Oryzias latipes: one gene and its partners. The protein of the gene in region 1 purifies or fractionates together with the protein of each later gene. This does not show direct contact. Links are inferred from orthologs where the notes say so. Each region holds a gene or a part of one and is shown in the gene's direction. Other genes may lie near its edges. The genes, in order: foxj1, cdk20, tbc1d32 and rfx3.

Region 1 (4,206 bases):
ATAAAACTATACCGTGTCTCAATCCAAATGTTGTTTTCCACTAAAAACAATTTTATGATGCATGAGTGGATTTGATCAACATCTTGCCTAAGACAGATCAATCTGGTTGGATAAACTGACCACGTCCATTAATCATTACACCCCAACCATCTAATATTTTAATGACTTTGGGTCAAAACGCTGAAGGTGAAGTTCTAAAGCAGGTCCGCTTTAGCAGAAGCAACAACAGGTGAGTTTCTCCTCCAAACAATCTTTTCTTTCTTGGAAGAACAGAGGAGAAAGCTGAAGAGGAGGAGAGTCCAGATGTTTGGTGAACTTTGGCGCCCTCTTGTGTTCATCAACAACATCTGCTAACAAACCCATTTTCCTGAAACATTTTGGAATCTTTCTCTGCGCTTTTTTTTTTACCACAGTGTCATCATCTCATCTCTCTCGGCATTGGTGGGTCAAACATCCTCAGAAGAAAGATTTAAGATGATTCCTCAGACTTTGATGGCAGACGGCAGACAGACTTTTTCATCTTTTTTCACTCTCTTTCTCCTGTTATTCTGTCTTTAGAAACACCGGACTTTACTTTCCGAGGTCATTTATTCGTAGAATGATTTCGGCCTTAAGTTCTCCTATTTTTCTTCATTCAGGAAGCATATCTTCTGTCATTTAGAAAGTAAAGGTTTGATATTTGTTTGAGTTGATTCTTTTATTTTGGAGGAGGAGGCTGAGTGAGGAGCAGCCGTGGGCATCATCAGGCTGTGTCCACAGCTGTCAGCAGCACACGGCGCTCCTCGTCAGGCCCACAGGGAGCAGGAGGCCTTTTATTGCTTTACAGTGGCTTTGTGAGGAGCCTCAGGAAACCACTCAGCCACACTAATAGAACGTTAGATGAGCCAAACCTTTTTTGTTTGGCCTTTCTCTGCCTTTTCTGTCTTATGAACAAAAGTGCATTCCTTCGCACTCGCCTCCTCCTGAAACATCCAACGGAGAGGCTCGTTAAAACCTCCAGGCCAGAGCTGGACAGAACCTGCAGCGAGGAAAGTCATCTTTGTCTTTTAGCGCCATCAGGAACTGTTCAACTTTTGTTTTATTGTTATTTAGCTTTGTCTTCCTCCTGCAGGGGCCGGGCTTCTCTGAAAGACAGAAAATGAGAAGAACAAAAATGACCTTTAATAGTTTGTCATCTAGTAAAAAAAATCCATGCGGTTAAAAAGATAATAATTTGGTAAAAAACCTGTTGGAGGCGTCAGAAGTGACGAAATTAAGACAAAAAAGTTCTACTGCGATAAATTAAACTGAACAGTTTTACTAATTTAAAAAGAGAAAATTCAAGGATTTTAATAGAAAACCATCTTTCCAATTAATTTTCCAATATTTATTTTATTTTAATTTTTTTATTTTACTCTCCATCTTTTATTAAAAAATAAAATAACATTAAAAAAGAAGAAGTGTAGATCCTCTAGGATGGCCCCGCGGGGCCCCGGGCCTCACTCTGAGGACCTCCAGCCTCGGCTGACTTTAGGGTGATTAAAAATGAAGCTCCATGGCAACCAGCCGGCCAATGGGGGCGCTTGAAGCTGTTTACAGGGGGAGTGTATCGTTTCTATGGCTCCCGGACAAACCTCCTGCACCAGGTATTAAACTGTCCCCCCCCCGGCGGAGCCCGCTGACACCCGCGCGGAGAGGAGGACGAGCAGCGCAGGAGAGCACGGATCCTGTTCTCGGTCGAGGACGCGCGTGCAGGCGGCAGATGCGCGGTGCGCAGACCGAGGATCGCCGAGCGCAGCCGGTTTAGAATTTAAAGGTTTTTGAGAGAAAACAGCAGTTCCGAGGTGAGTGTGACTGTTAGAATGATCCAAAAGTGATCAGAAGGGACAACTCCAGCTGACTAATTACATTTATTTAAAATCGGTTCCTTGAACACGATCCAACGGTTTTATTTCGTTTGCAATATTAACCTCACTGTCTAAACACACAAACATGGATTTTAGGCACAACAGTTTCTACAATATGAAAGAAAATATACTCTCTCTATATATAATATTTTTAATATAACATTTATCACTGTTAACAATTTTAAAGGTTTTTTTAAACGTCTTTTACGCCTCGTGATCATTAAGAGTTCGGAGAGGAGGCCGTTCTGCGTCATTACGCATGAGGTCCACAGGAAAGTTCTGGTGTTAAAGAAAAAGAACCATTAAAGTTTAATGCGGTTTTAGCTCAAATTTCCTGCTTTATTCGGGAACATTTAAAAAAGAACCGCAGTGTTTTTGCCCAAACTGCTTCTGTTTTCTCATCTGCGCCGTGCTGGAGCTGATGTTAATGTTGGTCTTGTCAGGCGGTGGCAGGGGGGGAAGGATAGAGCGATGCTGTCACTCAGCTGCGCGGACCCCTGGCCCGAAGGCTCGGTGGTGCTGGAGGAGGAGGTGGTGACCGCCGCGGCGCAGGCGGAGGAGCGGGACGCCGCCGGGAGCTGCAGCAGCAGCAGCAGCAGCAGCAGCAGCAGCAGCAGCAGCAGCAGCAGCTGGTGCGGCTCCGACAACCTGGATGACAGCCTGACCAGCCTGCAGTGGCTGCAGGACTTCTCCATCCTCGGCGCCAACGTTCCGCAGCACGCGCACCAGCAGCCCCACTTTTTCGGACAGCAGCTGGGGTTGGACGCGCCCGCTTCCCCCCTGGCCGGGGACCCCGCGTCCATGGGGATGCCCCTGACCCCGGGGAAGCCCACGGCCGCGTCCTACAGCAGGATCCAGCCCGGCGTCGTGGCGCGCGGACTGACGCCGGACGGCGCGGATTACCGGAACAACGCGCGCGTCAAGCCGCCGTTCTCCTACGCCACCCTGATCTGCATGGCGATGCAGGCCAGCAAGAAGAGCAAGATCACGCTGTCCTGCATCTACAAGTGGATCACAGACAACTTCTGCTACTACCGCCACGCGGACCCCACCTGGCAGGTACACCGGCACGTGCATGCACAGCAGGAAACGCGCGCGCCCCTCAGATGGTGTGACATTGAGTCTGTGCGCGAGACTTGAGGCAGAGTGAGCCTGCAGGTGTTAGGCTATATCACACTATTTTGTTTTTGGTTTGATTATTTGGAGTTTGGAGGAGAAGAATTCCCGTCAGGAATGTTCCAGAAAAGTTTAATTTTCTTGGATAAATGATTGATGAAGCCGTTAGCTGTTCTGTGGGACTCAGACACTTAAGAGCATTTTGTTATTGTAAGTCTGAACACGGGGCAGATAATATTTAACAGAGGTCGGCAGCTCACGGCTCTGTTTGGACTTCAGGGAGGAGGGCCAGCAGGATGGGGGGGGGGGGCACAGAGATGCTAATAGGATGCAGGCAGACAGGTTCAGAGGGGGACTCTCACTCAGAACATCTTGTGTGTTTCAGAACTCCATCCGACACAACCTGTCGCTCAACAAGTGCTTCATCAAAGTCCCCCGGCAGAAGGACGAGCCGGGCAAAGGGGGCTTCTGGAAGATCGACCCGCAGTACGCCGAACACCTCCTCAGCGGTTCCCACAAGAAGAGGCGGATGCCCCCGGTCCAGATCAACCCCGCCCTGCAGAGCAGACTCCACATCCACCTGCAGCCACGCTCCAGCACCCCCTGCCCCCTGGCGGACGGCCTGGACTTCAACCCACATGCCCCGAGCCTCATGCAGGGGTTGGAGGAGGTGACCGGTGCCGACCAGAGCTGGAACCCCCGTCTGGCCGAGGGGACGATGCTGGGGGCCTGGCCGGTGGTGAGGGGAAGAAGAGGGAAAAAGAGGAAAAATCCGTTTGGATCCAGGAATGGCGGCACCAGAGGGTTCCGGGGCTCCAGCTCCCCCCTCCTCTGTGGGGAGGAGCAGAAGCAGGTGGGACCTCTGGAGGGCGACTTCGACTGGGATGCCCTGCTGGACTCAGCGCTCAGCGGGGAGCTCAGCCTGGATGAAGAGGGGCCTCTGAGCCCCATCCTGAAAGAAGAGGCCCTGACAGCGAGGGGGGGCCAGGTTGCAGCCGGCGAAGCTCCGGCAGGAACGACGGCCGATCAAAGGAGTAATGTGCCTGACTTTGACGAGGAGACCCTTCTCGCCACAGCCTTCCTGGAGACTCCCTGGCCAGGAGAAGAAGAGGAGGAGCAAAGTCAGGCCAACTTCCTCTGTAACTCCAATCTGGATCAGCTGTTCGACCTGGGAGACTCTTTACATGGAGATCCCAGCGGCCAG
Region 2 (4,100 bases), on another chromosome or scaffold:
AAAAATTCCAGGGTGTCAAAGGTTCTTATAGCTTTGGGGTTGGAAGAATGTTTTATTGCTTTGATATATTGGTTCAACTCAATCATAAAAAGTTTGAATAAGGGCTTTTTTTCAGAAAATTTGCATTTATGTATGTGGAATTTGGCTAGTATTATCAAAAGGTTAATTAAATAGTATTCCCTTCTTAGTGAATTATTAACACTATAAAAACCAAATAATATATCCTTGTATACCAAATCAAATTTTTCATAAATTTAACATCGAACAAAGGAGGTAAGGTCTTTCCAAAAAATTGCTGTTGGGGGGCATTTCCAGAAAAGATGTATAATTGTTTCAGTGTCTAATTTACAAAAGGAGCAATTTTTATCAATGTCTATGTGTAATGAGGATTTGGCTGGGTAGCATCTGTGAAGAAGTTTAAAACAAACATCCCGGGGTTTATTTGAAATAAAATATTTAGAGGACAAAGTCCAAACTTTCTTCCATTCAATATCTGGGGCAATTTTTCTCCAATAGTGGGTGCATAACCTGCTTTCTGGAATACTCCCCTGGGCCTTTGTGACGTCACAACACCGCATTAGTTCAAACAGAGCGTCTTTGAGACAGTTTGATTGACAGCGGTTTAAAAGGAGAAACACTCAGAAATGCAAAAATGAAACCATGTCTAATTCCATTTGTTGTATTTCATAAGACAAATACCACAATGTCACAAAACATGATTTTCATCAGAGGGGGACTTTCAGAACCGGAGCAGAACCCAGAGGGGCTTACCGCAGGTCTCTCCTCAGAACTTCCTCGATGAATCTTTCATACTGAAGGACCTTCTCTTCCATCCTCGAGTCAGAACCGGCGTCTGTGGGCGGAGTCATCGGGGATGGGGGGCTAATGCGGGGGCTCTGCGGGCCGGTTCAGCTCAGACACTTGTAAAGAAGTTCACAGCCCCACATGCAGTCATCTAAACAAGATTCTGAACCGGAAGTACTCCGACAAGATACTTCCAGGTTTCAGCGTAGAAGAGGAGCAGAAAAAAGAACATTTAATTTCTTTTTATGTTTAAAGCACTTTGTGCAAACAGTTGTTATTTGGTCATTTTCACTTACATTTATTCTTCCATATTCTACCAGATATATAGAACGTGGCAATTATTCATAAACTAATTCCCGGGTTAAACCTTATGTGAATATGAATTTTAAAATATATATGTTTTTGTTTAATGGCTGGTTGTGCTAATTTTATTTATTCTTCTTCGTTGTTTTATTTTCGTTGATTTGGATTGTCCTGTGATGACGTCACTGTCAACAAACATGGCGGAGAGCTGCGTTGACTATAGTTGAAACGTTTTCAAAATATCTCGTCAAGTGCCAAAGGACAGCGCACATTTGGTGTCGCGTACATGTCATCAGCTTTACGCATCAAGTAAATATCCAGCACTATACTAAATATTCAACGATATACTAAAGTTTCGTAGTTTTATTTATCAGATGTGACCGAGGCAACATCAGCGCCCACTTCCGGTCTCGTTCCGTTCAAAATGTCGTGCTTATTTTGGTTGGACGCGCCGGAGCCCCGCTCTTAAAACCCGTGGACTAAAAACCGTTAAGTAAAGGAACAAGTCCAAGTCCATAAAGATCCCCGCTGCAGCTGCAGGGGTCCTGGATGATCATGGAGCAGTACAGCATCCTAGGCCGGATTGGAGAAGGGGCTCACGGAATCGTGTTTAAGGCCAAGCACGTGCAGGTGAAACATGTTCATGGAGCAGAAAAAACAGACACCTGAACAGGTGATCATTCAGGCTGATGGATGAACGTGTTTCTGACAGACCGGGGAAACTGTGGCTCTAAAGAAGGTGGCTCTGAGGAAGCTGGAGGACGGCATTCCCAATCAGGCTCTGAGGGAGATCAAGGCTCTGCAGGAGATTGAGGACAACCAGCACGTGAGTGTGTACAGTCGTGGTCAAAGGTTTGGAGAATGACGTAAATATTGTTGGAAATTGGAAAATAATTGCTGCTTAAATACATATAATAGCATTTTGCATATACTCCATAATGTTATGATGATCAGATGAATTGCATAGTCCTTCTTTGCCATAAAAATGAACTTAATCCCCCAAAACTCTTTCCACGGCATTTCATTGGTGTCATTAAAGAACCAGCTGAGATCATTTCATTCATCGTCTTGTTAACTCAGGTGACAATGTTGACGAGCACCAGGCTGGAGATCATTCTGTCAGGCTGATGGGGTTAGAATGGCAGACTTGACATGTTAAAAGGAGGGTGATGCCTGGAATCATTAATCTTCCATTGGTAACCATGGTAACCTGCAAAGAAACGTGTGCAGCCATCACTGTATTGCATAAAAATTGATTCAAAGGGGAGGGTATTGTGGCAACTAAGATTGCATCTAAATCAACAATTTATAGGATCATAAAGAACATTTTTGGAGAGACGCCACTTCTCTCCAAAAACATTTCTGATTGCTTGGGGAATCTGCAGAAAAGGTGAGCGCTACCATCAGTCCTGTGTGACGCCAACAGTAAAGCATCCTGAGACCATTCATGTGTGGGGTTGTTTCCCATCCAGGGGAGGGGGCTCACTCACAATTCAGCCCAAAACACAGCCATGAATAAAGAATAGTACCAAAACACCCTCCAACAATAACTTCTTCCAACAACATTTTGGTGACAAACATGCATTTTCCAGAACCATGGAGCACCGGGCCATAAGGCTAAAGTGATAACTAAGTGGCTCTGGGACCAAAACGTTGAAATTGTGGGTCCATGGCCTGGAAACTCCTCAGATCTTTTGGTCAATCCTCAAGAGGCGGTTGGACAAACAAAAACCCACTAATTCTGACAAACTCCAAGAAGTGATTCTGAAAGAATGGGTTACTATCAGTCAGGAAGTTGATAGAGAGCATGTCCACTGGAACTGCAGAGGTTCTGAAAAAGAAGGGCCAACACTGCAAATACTGATGTCATTGTTGATAAAAGCCTTTGAAGCGTATGAAGTGCTTGTAATTCTATTTCAGTTATATTACAGAGAAAACTGAAACAAAGATCTAAATGCAGGTTAGCAGCTAACTCTGTGAAAACTACGATTTGAGTCATTCTCCAACTGACTGTACAGTCATGGCCAAAGGTTTTGAGAATGTGGGAGGTTTTTTTGGGATGATGTTAATTTTCATGGCAAAGAAGGACTATGCAATTCATCTAATCACTCATAACATTCTTGATTATATGCAAATTTCTATTATAAAAACTTAAGCAGCAAAAAAACTGAAACAAAGATCTAAAGCAGTGTTGCAGCAAACTTTGTGAGAACTAATATTTCTGTCATTCTCAAAACTTTTGGCCACAACTGTACAGTACTGAATTGTTCTATACAGCAGAACAGCATCAGAGAAAAGAACAAAACAGGATTTGACAGAGACTAAGGATCTGCTAGAGACTGGGACACGACAAAAAGCACTGATCTGGCAGAGAGCAGGGAACTGATAGAGACCAATGACCTGACAAAAAAAAGTATCTGATAAAGACTTGGACCTAACGGACATCAATGACCCAATAGACCATGCTGAGGCTAGAAACCAACAAACTTACTTGGAACAAGGACCAATGACCTCACAGAGAACATGGACCCAACTGAGACTGGAATTGTTTGTCACAATGTGACGTGTGGGGTTCGGGTCTGCAACGACGAATGTCGCGCATTTCATCAAGTTTCCTCAATGTTTAGTCGGTGGTTTTGGGGACCTATTTTATCTTGTACCTTTCACGAAGCTGTGATATCGATCCAAATCATGAGAAAGCCGCCGTTGGCTCACAAAAGTCTGCTACGTCTACTGTACCTTGTTCTGAATCTAAATCACAGTATAAGCTATCCCAGTAAGCACATCAACACATATATTAACACGCGGAAACCAAGTTCTTCAGTGGTGAAGTGAAGATGTGCAAACAACATGCGTGTGTTCGGCAACCTGAGACCACAGACCTGACTGAGACCATGAAGGTGACAGACTCAGGGACCTGACGGAGGCTGTCCAGGCTTGTCATTGGTCTGAGAAGGGAATACCCTTTAGTCAGCTGGACTTTGGTGTTGACT
Region 3 (3,563 bases), on another chromosome or scaffold:
TGGATCGTGCTAAAACCAAGTCTGTCTGACTGTGATTATATAAAATTTAAATGTTCTTTTTTATGTTTTATGTTCTTCTGTCATCTTAAGAAGGAGTTTACTTTACAGTTATTGTTTGCTGAACAAGACAACATAAAAGGACTCAGGCTGCATTAGAAATAGACATACCGGTATTTAAAAAGAATAAAAGTTCATCAACAGAATTTCAAGAAAAGCTATGGTGGACTTTCAGATAATCCGTTTTTTTCTTCTTGAACCAGGTATCAGCAGATGATGCAGACCTTGAAAACCTCACTGAGCTCTGTTGTGGAGTGTTTAACCAACAAATACAAGGAGAGCCAGCTGAGAAAAGAGGAGACGCACAGAGAGAGGGAGCACAGCCAGCACAGCAGCCACTTCACAGACAGCTGCTCCGACAGCGACTCCTCCTTCAACCAGGTCAGAGGAACAAGACACGAGGGGGGTTTGATTCTGGAATGGGGTTGTTTTCTCTCTCTGAGACTCTCCTCTTGATCTTTTCCAGAGCTACACCTTCATCACGCAGGAGGAGCTCCAGCTTCTAGCTGAAAGACTTGAGCCCGGCAAGCCCAAAGAGGTACCCAACCTGAGGCTTTCACATTCACCACCATGGTTGTTTCCCATCTGTTCTATGTATGTTTTAGCTGTGCTCAGCCTGTCAGAACTCAGAGCTACACAATACAGATTCAGATTCTGTTTTTTAACTGAAGTTTTTGCCTTCTTTCCACAAACACATACTCCTCTTTTGAGCTGCAGTTATTTAAATTCTTTTTAGTGGAACCTGTTCTCTGTGCTTTCATTTATCCACCTTCAAGAAACAATAATAACTTCATGCATTAATTTTCAGAGCTCTTGGCAGAATATTTACCAAGCTATGATCATTTTAAATATGCATATGTGCTGCCCAGCAATGTTCATTAAACTGTTCATTTGCACTTAACCTTATTAAAAAGTTCAAGAATGCAGGCCAAAGGGTTGGCCCCCAGTAGGCCTGAACAATATACCGCAAATTTATCTTTATCGCAATATCAAGCTGTGCAATATGCATATCGCAAAAGACAGCAAATTTGCAATAAATGGTTACCTTAGATGTGGCCAAACAGTCTTATGGCAGCTTGAAGTGTTTAATGGATTGAAAGAATCCCTTTCTGCATTTGACCAATCAGATGGACCCCTTCACGTTGTTAACTAATCGGATGGCGCTCTATTATGTTGTATGTTCGCCTCCTATGTCAACAAGGGTCATTTGTAGTATAATTTTTAAGCTGTTGTAATGGAATGGGAATAATATTTTTGGTTGTTTTGCTAATTGTTTATATACCGCAAATTATATCGTTATCGCAATATTAATTTCTAATATCGCATATCGCGGGTTTTCTTCATATCGTGCAGCCCTAGCCCACATACAGTTTCACTTCACTAAATCCGGCCCTCTTTGACACCCCTGGTTTAGGTCAATTTGATTGACAGCTTGCCTCAGACAGATTGATCTGGTTGGATCATAGGAAAATAAATCGATTCATGGTTACACCCCTACAAAGAGTAGATCTCTTAAACCAGGTTTAGACAGTCACATTTTGGAGATTTCGGCCACACCCATCGCCCCCGATCATCTTAAAATTCATTCAAGCTGGGATCTGTTTGAATGTGTGTGTAGATGCGTCGGGAGGCGTTGCACGTCCTCTGCCGTGCGTCTCTGCCTGATCTGTTGAGCTGCGAGAGCTGGAGTACCCTGCGCAGGAACCTCTCTTTGGCTCTGAACGAGGCCGAGCTCAGTGTGAGTCCTAACCTCATGTCCCCCCGCTGTCCCACACACCCACATTTCCTTCCGCCACTGCAGGAATAAAGGTCTCTTTTTCTCCTGTCCCTGTCAGGAAGAGGCGTTGCAGTTTTTTGCTAAAAGCTTCTCCTGCTCTCCACTCAATGTCACCAGAGAGATGTTCGCCAGTTTAGGTAGGAAATGTAAATAGAGATATGACTGTTTTTTTTAACAAAATGTATTTTCTTCATCATTGAACCGCCACCTTAATGTGGTGGAGGGGTTGAAGAGCTTTAGTCATCCCAGGAGCTAAACTGTCTAGAGATTTTGCAGACAGACAGGTCCTGGGTGACGAGCCAGACAAAGAGCTGTTCAGAACCCGCTTGATGAGAAGTACAAACAAAGATTTTGCTATGTCGCCAGGATTGGCTTCACTGAAGCCCCACTCCAGAGCCAGGACTGGGGATTACAGTCATGTGGGCCAAACACCTGTAGGGGCCTGTCCAATGTGGTTTGTGTGGCAGTTGAAGGCAGGTGTCTCAGCGACCCCCTTTTCAATGGGGGGGTGTTCCAGCTCCCGGGGAATCACAATGGAAAGTCTATGCCAGGGTACCCTGAGAGGAGAGTCCATCCGATAGTTGAACCTCAGATCCAGGAACAACAGTCCGGTTTCTGTCCTGGTTGTGGAACAGTGGACCGGCCCTAACCCTTTTTAGAGTGCTGGAGGGTTTGTGGGAGTTCACTTATCCAGTCCATATGTGTTTGTGGATTTGAAGAAGGTGTTCAACCGGGTCCCCTGTGGTTTCCTGTGGAGGATGGGATCCGTGGAGCCTTACTGAGGGCTGTCCAGTGGTTTGCATAGCCGGCAGTAAGTTGGACCCGTTACCGTTGCATGTTGGACTCTGGCAGTGCTGCCCTTTGAGCACAGAATTTTTAGGCACAACCAGGGGCCGGAGGAGGTCCGGTTTGGGGACCACAGGATTTCCTTTCTCCTCTTTGCAGATGATGTTGTCCTGTCTAAATGGGCGCAGTGTCCCTTCCCCAGGTGGAGGAGTATATTGGGGTCTTGAACCCAAGTGAGGGAAGATTGGAGCGTGAGATTGACAGGCAGATTGGTGCGGCATCTGCCGTTATGCAGTCGCCGTACCGGCCCATTATGGTCAAGAGAGCTGAGCCAGAGAACACCCTTAGGGTGGCTGGGCGCTGCCTTAGAGATAGGGGGAGAAGCACGGTCAATGGGAGAGAGCAATTTTACAGACACAAGCTGTATATAAAATAAAATAAAAAATAACAACTAAAAGTTGAAGAAAGACGATCTGTTAAATTCTGCTTTATATCCTCGTTCCTTTGGTAGATTTTTTTAAACTACTTTGTGGAAAAAACTGAAAATCATTTATTTTACAAATAAGTTAAAGAATTTATCAGTTTCATGACATTAATTGGTGTCGATATGCTTTTTTCTTAACAGCTAAAAATGTAGAATCCAGTTTTGTGTCTCACAAGCTGAACTTCCCAAGCGGCTCAGCAACCCTCGACATCAACACTCCTAAGATAACCCGCCTTCTCAAGCAGGTACTTTCTTTTCAGCTCAACTAAAGGTCGTTTCAGAAGAGTTTTTCTAATTATTTTGCTTTGTGCATTTCAGATGCGATTGATTAATGACTTCCAGAAGGAGGTGGCTTCCTTCTGGATTCGTCACCCTGAGAAGTGAGTTCATGTCAAGGATTTCAGCACAGAGGCTTTGTTGCATGTTATGTTTATGTTAGCCAATATTTTCAGCAGCCAT
Region 4 (4,101 bases), on another chromosome or scaffold:
TTTTTTTGAATCCTTCTTAAAGTATTTCTTCCTCTCAGGTTCAGCAATAATCTGAATTTTCCTGGTGTAAATAGAACAGAGTTTTAGTGGTTGTACTGGGTTTTTTTTTTTAATTTATCAACAAGAAAAGCACAAAGTTTGTATAGAAAATGAGTGTGACTACAATAAGGACAATAATATAAGTTTGAAAGCACTTTATTATTAGATTATGATATAAAGATGTTAATGGTTTTTAACATTTAAGACACCAAATAATCCTAAATTATAGTGTTCCTTAACTGTGTCTTTCTCCTCTGAAACTAGAAGAACAAACAATTTTACTTGAAACATCTTTTTTTTATAAGAGTGTTGTGCTTCAGATGGAGGTTTTGCTAGTTGCCTAGCAACGGGAATAACAGCTTTACCAAAAAAGCGTCTGTTTAGTAACTGGCAGTTACTAACTGCTAATCAAATACAAATAAAAAGAAAGGCGGTGTGTTGGATACAGGTGGTTTGTTAGGCTTTGTGTCCAGCAGAAGCCAATGCCTGCTTTGTTTTAACATTGTTCTTCCTTTAAAAAACCTGGTTTGATGAAATAGTTTCACCTTTTGCACCCGAGTTTAGTTCAAAAGAAGGACACCATTTGTCTGCAAGTGCTGAAAATAATATTTAAATGATAAATATAGTAACATACATACAAATAAATTGAGTACATTAAATTATTGAATGCATTAATATTTGTCAAAAGAACATCGATAATTAAGCAAATAATAATAATAATAATAATAATAAAGTTATTAATCAACAACATGAGCATAATAGGGGTGGGATTATAAAATTTGACTTCCGCACATTCCTTTCTAAGCAAATAATTTAATTCATTTTGAGAAACTTCACATTAAATGGATTTGATGGGTTATGTATTGTATAGGTACAATCATGTCTATTTATGATTAAGAGTAATTATAAGGACATCATTTACAAGTGGATGTACATAGATTTGTATGTTCTTTTACTTTTATTTCCCAAACCTATATATATATATATATATATATATAAATTCCAACTGAGTGCATGAAAATATATAATTTCTCACCTTTAAATTAAATATGATACAGAAGTATACACGATTTATCAATTGCAATGCAATTTTTGATAAATATACTGCAGTGTAAAACAACCACAACATTGTAATAACATGGAAAACAAAGTAATGGCTAAATACATTTTATTTATTTTTGTATTATTTAAGTCAAGACTTCGAAGTAATTTGATTGAGAGAGAAAAATATCGGGGAATTTATCTGTACATGCCCCCCGAAAAAAGGAAAGAAAAGAAAGACAAAAGCCGAAAGAGAAGCAGTCCAATCAATTCATCGATGGTTGAAATCGTTTTATTCCTTTTTGATTTTTGCCGTAGGTATCGCCGCGCGCTCCTCCCACCTAAGGTTGCGCGCTGCCGGTGAGTTTTATAGCAACTGTTGCCCGGTGAGGCAGCGCCATAGTCACCGTAGTCCTGGCGACTGTAACCCACCAACAACAACCTCTCGCTCCATCATTACCACCTCCTCCATCATCCTCATCTTCATCAACCAGTCCACGGCTCAGGTTTGATTTAAATCCTTGACTATTTTTAGCATAAATGTAAGATGCTCCTCGGCGTCACAGGATATGAATTTTATCAGGGGGGGTTTGATGCTGTTGGTTTGCGTTTTGTCTGCTGTTGGATGAAGGCTCGCTGGGTAGCTGTGGTAGTTTTGCTAGCGAGGGTGTTTCTTTGTAACGTGTTAGCCTGCGTGCTAACGTTGCCTGTGGATACTAACTGAGGCGAGGCGTCCTGGTCGCCAACAGAAACCGGCTGTGTAGCCTTTTACAAAGCTTTACGGACCGGCCCGACTCCATTTTGTTCTAAAAAACGAGCTTTTATTCGCAGAGAATTGGTCTGAAGTTGCCATGCTGAGTGGTCGCAAAGGCTAGCCAGTGATGCTAACTGGTCAGCTGGAGCAGGTGTCTGTTGTTGCTAGGTTGCTAACGCCAGCGATGTCTGTTGCTGTCCCATTTTCGGGTAAATGTTACGGTCGGGTTGTGTGTTTCCGCGTCGGGTGATTCAGCGTTTTTTGCCGCTAAGAAATCTGTTCGTCGATTAGCAAAGGAAAGTGGTGTGTGCTCGCTGGGCTTTCACTCTCTAATAGGTTCACAATAGCTGAGCCTTTACTTTCCCTTTTGTCTTAGGGAGCAAGATCGCGGCGTTAGCTCTCCATCTGTGCTCTTTGTGGGATCAACTGGTAATAATGATAAGAACGCGATAACATCAGTTCTGTAGGGATCAGTTACTACACAATCAGATTTATATTAATGTATTTCAATATTTGAGGTAATACAGGATGTTCTAAATACTAGCTCTGTGCTTTTTTTCACAATATTTACTCAAAAAAATGTATTGGTTAATAAAAAAGAAAAAGTTGTTTTATTTTCAGAAAAAATGTTGGTTTTTTTCAGTGTGTTTATTCATATTTTCTAACTATAATTAAACACACCAATTTGCTGTTTCAATTTCTGCCATTAAACAGAATAAAAACTAAAAACTGGGGAGACCCCATGATCCTCCAGTCGTTTTTTTTTTCCATGTTAAGTTTCTAAGTGTTGCATCACATTTACTCCTGGGTCCACTTGGTCTCCCGCTCCCCTGCAGCCTCTCCTTCCCATTAGGAGAGGGAACAGGTGTGCATGGGTTTGTGTATCTTTGTCTGTGTGTGTGAGTTGCAATAAAAAAAAAACACACAAGGGTGAATTCTGGTTGTGACAGAGGTAGTAGCAGTGCTACTTCGTCACCTGTCTTAAGACCATCTGTAAAAAGTTTTTTCTTTTCTTTCCATCCTTAAGTTTTTTGTTTAAGCCAATTATTTATTCAGCTGTTGTAGTTTTGTTGGTGTGTTTGACCTGTTGCATAAGGCAGTTTAACAGCTTTAGCTACTGATAAAGGATGTTTTGTTAAACGATTATATTTTGGCACAAGGAAAAATTTATAAATGACTCATTGGCTGCAAGATCTAAACTCCAAACACACCTAAATTATCATCCTACCACCACCGTGCCAAGAGATGACTTTCAGTGCTTTCCTTGATTCGCTACATTGAGTTTTTAGCTAAAACCAGTGCTGGCCAATCGTCATTATTAACTTGCTTTCCTTTGTGTTCATTTTTGATGCACTGTGCTCAGCAGGTGGAAATTCGTACAGATTGAAAAAAATTGTAATGCTAGATTTATATACTCTCAATGTTCTTGTGACAACCAAACAATTATTTTATTGCAAAAATCTTCTTTACGCAAAAAAAACAAAACTATTTTCTCTTTTTAGATCTGGTTTACTTCATTGAGTGAGTAATAGTCATACTCATACTGTCAAAATATAGAGTTCAATCAAAATGAGTCAGTCCCCTGTTGCAAATTAGGTATATTAAATGTCAGCTGCAGCAACAAACAAATTAAAATTAGAACAATTGTGTAACAGCTGCAGCAGTCTTTAAATAATTTAAGTCCTTGCATAGAACTGCGGCTGTAGAGTTCAGATTAAAAAAGCCAAATCCATATTGCGATTTGTCTGTGCGTGTGTGTGTGTGTACCGTAAATGTGCAAAGGCTATGCATTATATTAAATCTAAGGTTGCAGCAAACGAAAATAAAAGAACGTAGGAAATAAAATGGATTTAATTGAAAAACATAAATGTAATTAAAGCGAGTTGAATGACTGAAAATAGTTTGGCACAACACAGATGCAAATCTGTGCACAGGCAATCACAGCTGGTTTGCTTGTTATACAATACAGCAAACCCCTGCTGGAGAGGAGTCCTAGTATTTCATCGCCTGACAGATGGATGTGTGTCAAGAGAACAGTTCAAAAGTTAAGAGATGGGGTTTAGCAAACCATACAGTTGGAAACTGTTGCCATGAAATGAAACTAGCTTTCAGGGGCCGTAGATTAGACGGCTCTGGGATGTTTTGACATTTCTAACAATAGAAATTTGCACGATTCGTTCAAATAACAGGAAAGGCTGGGAGACGATCCTAAACGAAATCCACCAATGTTTGGGTTCTGAGGAGGTTTTTTAAGATTTGAAAGGTGG

The links.
Region 2: the proteins of foxj1 (region 1) and cdk20 purify together in Homo sapiens (affinity purification with mass spectrometry; 3 studies listed by BioGRID and IntAct, counting the BioPlex papers as one, with this or other methods). This does not show direct contact. The link is inferred for Oryzias latipes from reciprocal best matches to the Homo sapiens genes FOXJ1 and CDK20.
Region 3: the proteins of foxj1 (region 1) and tbc1d32 purify together in Homo sapiens (affinity purification with mass spectrometry; 3 studies listed by BioGRID and IntAct, counting the BioPlex papers as one, with this or other methods). This does not show direct contact. The link is inferred for Oryzias latipes from reciprocal best matches to the Homo sapiens genes FOXJ1 and TBC1D32.
Region 4: the proteins of foxj1 (region 1) and rfx3 purify together in Homo sapiens (affinity purification with mass spectrometry; 3 studies listed by BioGRID and IntAct, counting the BioPlex papers as one, with this or other methods). This does not show direct contact. The link is inferred for Oryzias latipes from reciprocal best matches to the Homo sapiens genes FOXJ1 and RFX3.

What each region holds. Positions count from the first base shown.
Region 1 is NC_019866.2:2,710,960-2,715,165, forward strand, and holds the start of foxj1 (forkhead box protein J1), read left to right. Parts: upstream 1-1,391; 5' UTR 1,392-1,823; intron 1,824-2,329; 5' UTR 2,330-2,357; coding exon 2,358-2,945; intron 2,946-3,387; coding exon 3,388-4,206. UniProt on the Homo sapiens protein: Transcription factor specifically required for the formation of motile cilia. Acts by activating transcription of genes that mediate assembly of motile cilia, such as CFAP157.
Region 2 is NC_019865.2:33,767,752-33,771,851, forward strand, and holds the start of cdk20 (cyclin-dependent kinase 20), read left to right. Parts: upstream 1-1,274; 5' UTR 1,275-1,656; coding exon 1,657-1,737; intron 1,738-1,819; coding exon 1,820-1,933; intron 1,934-4,100. Other genes in the region: protein UXT, read right to left, coding at 772-869. UniProt on the Homo sapiens protein: Required for high-level Shh responses in the developing neural tube.
Region 3 is NC_019882.2:17,649,886-17,653,448, forward strand, and holds part of tbc1d32 (protein broad-minded), read left to right. Parts: intron 1-260; coding exon 261-438; intron 439-523; coding exon 524-595; intron 596-1,675; coding exon 1,676-1,795; intron 1,796-1,892; coding exon 1,893-1,971; intron 1,972-3,245; coding exon 3,246-3,349; intron 3,350-3,422; coding exon 3,423-3,484; intron 3,485-3,563.
Region 4 is NC_019870.2:13,046,873-13,050,973, reverse strand, and holds the start of rfx3 (transcription factor RFX3), read left to right. Parts: upstream 1-1,276; 5' UTR 1,277-1,586; intron 1,587-4,101. UniProt on the Homo sapiens protein: Transcription factor required for ciliogenesis and islet cell differentiation during endocrine pancreas development. Essential for the differentiation of nodal monocilia and left-right asymmetry specification during embryogenesis.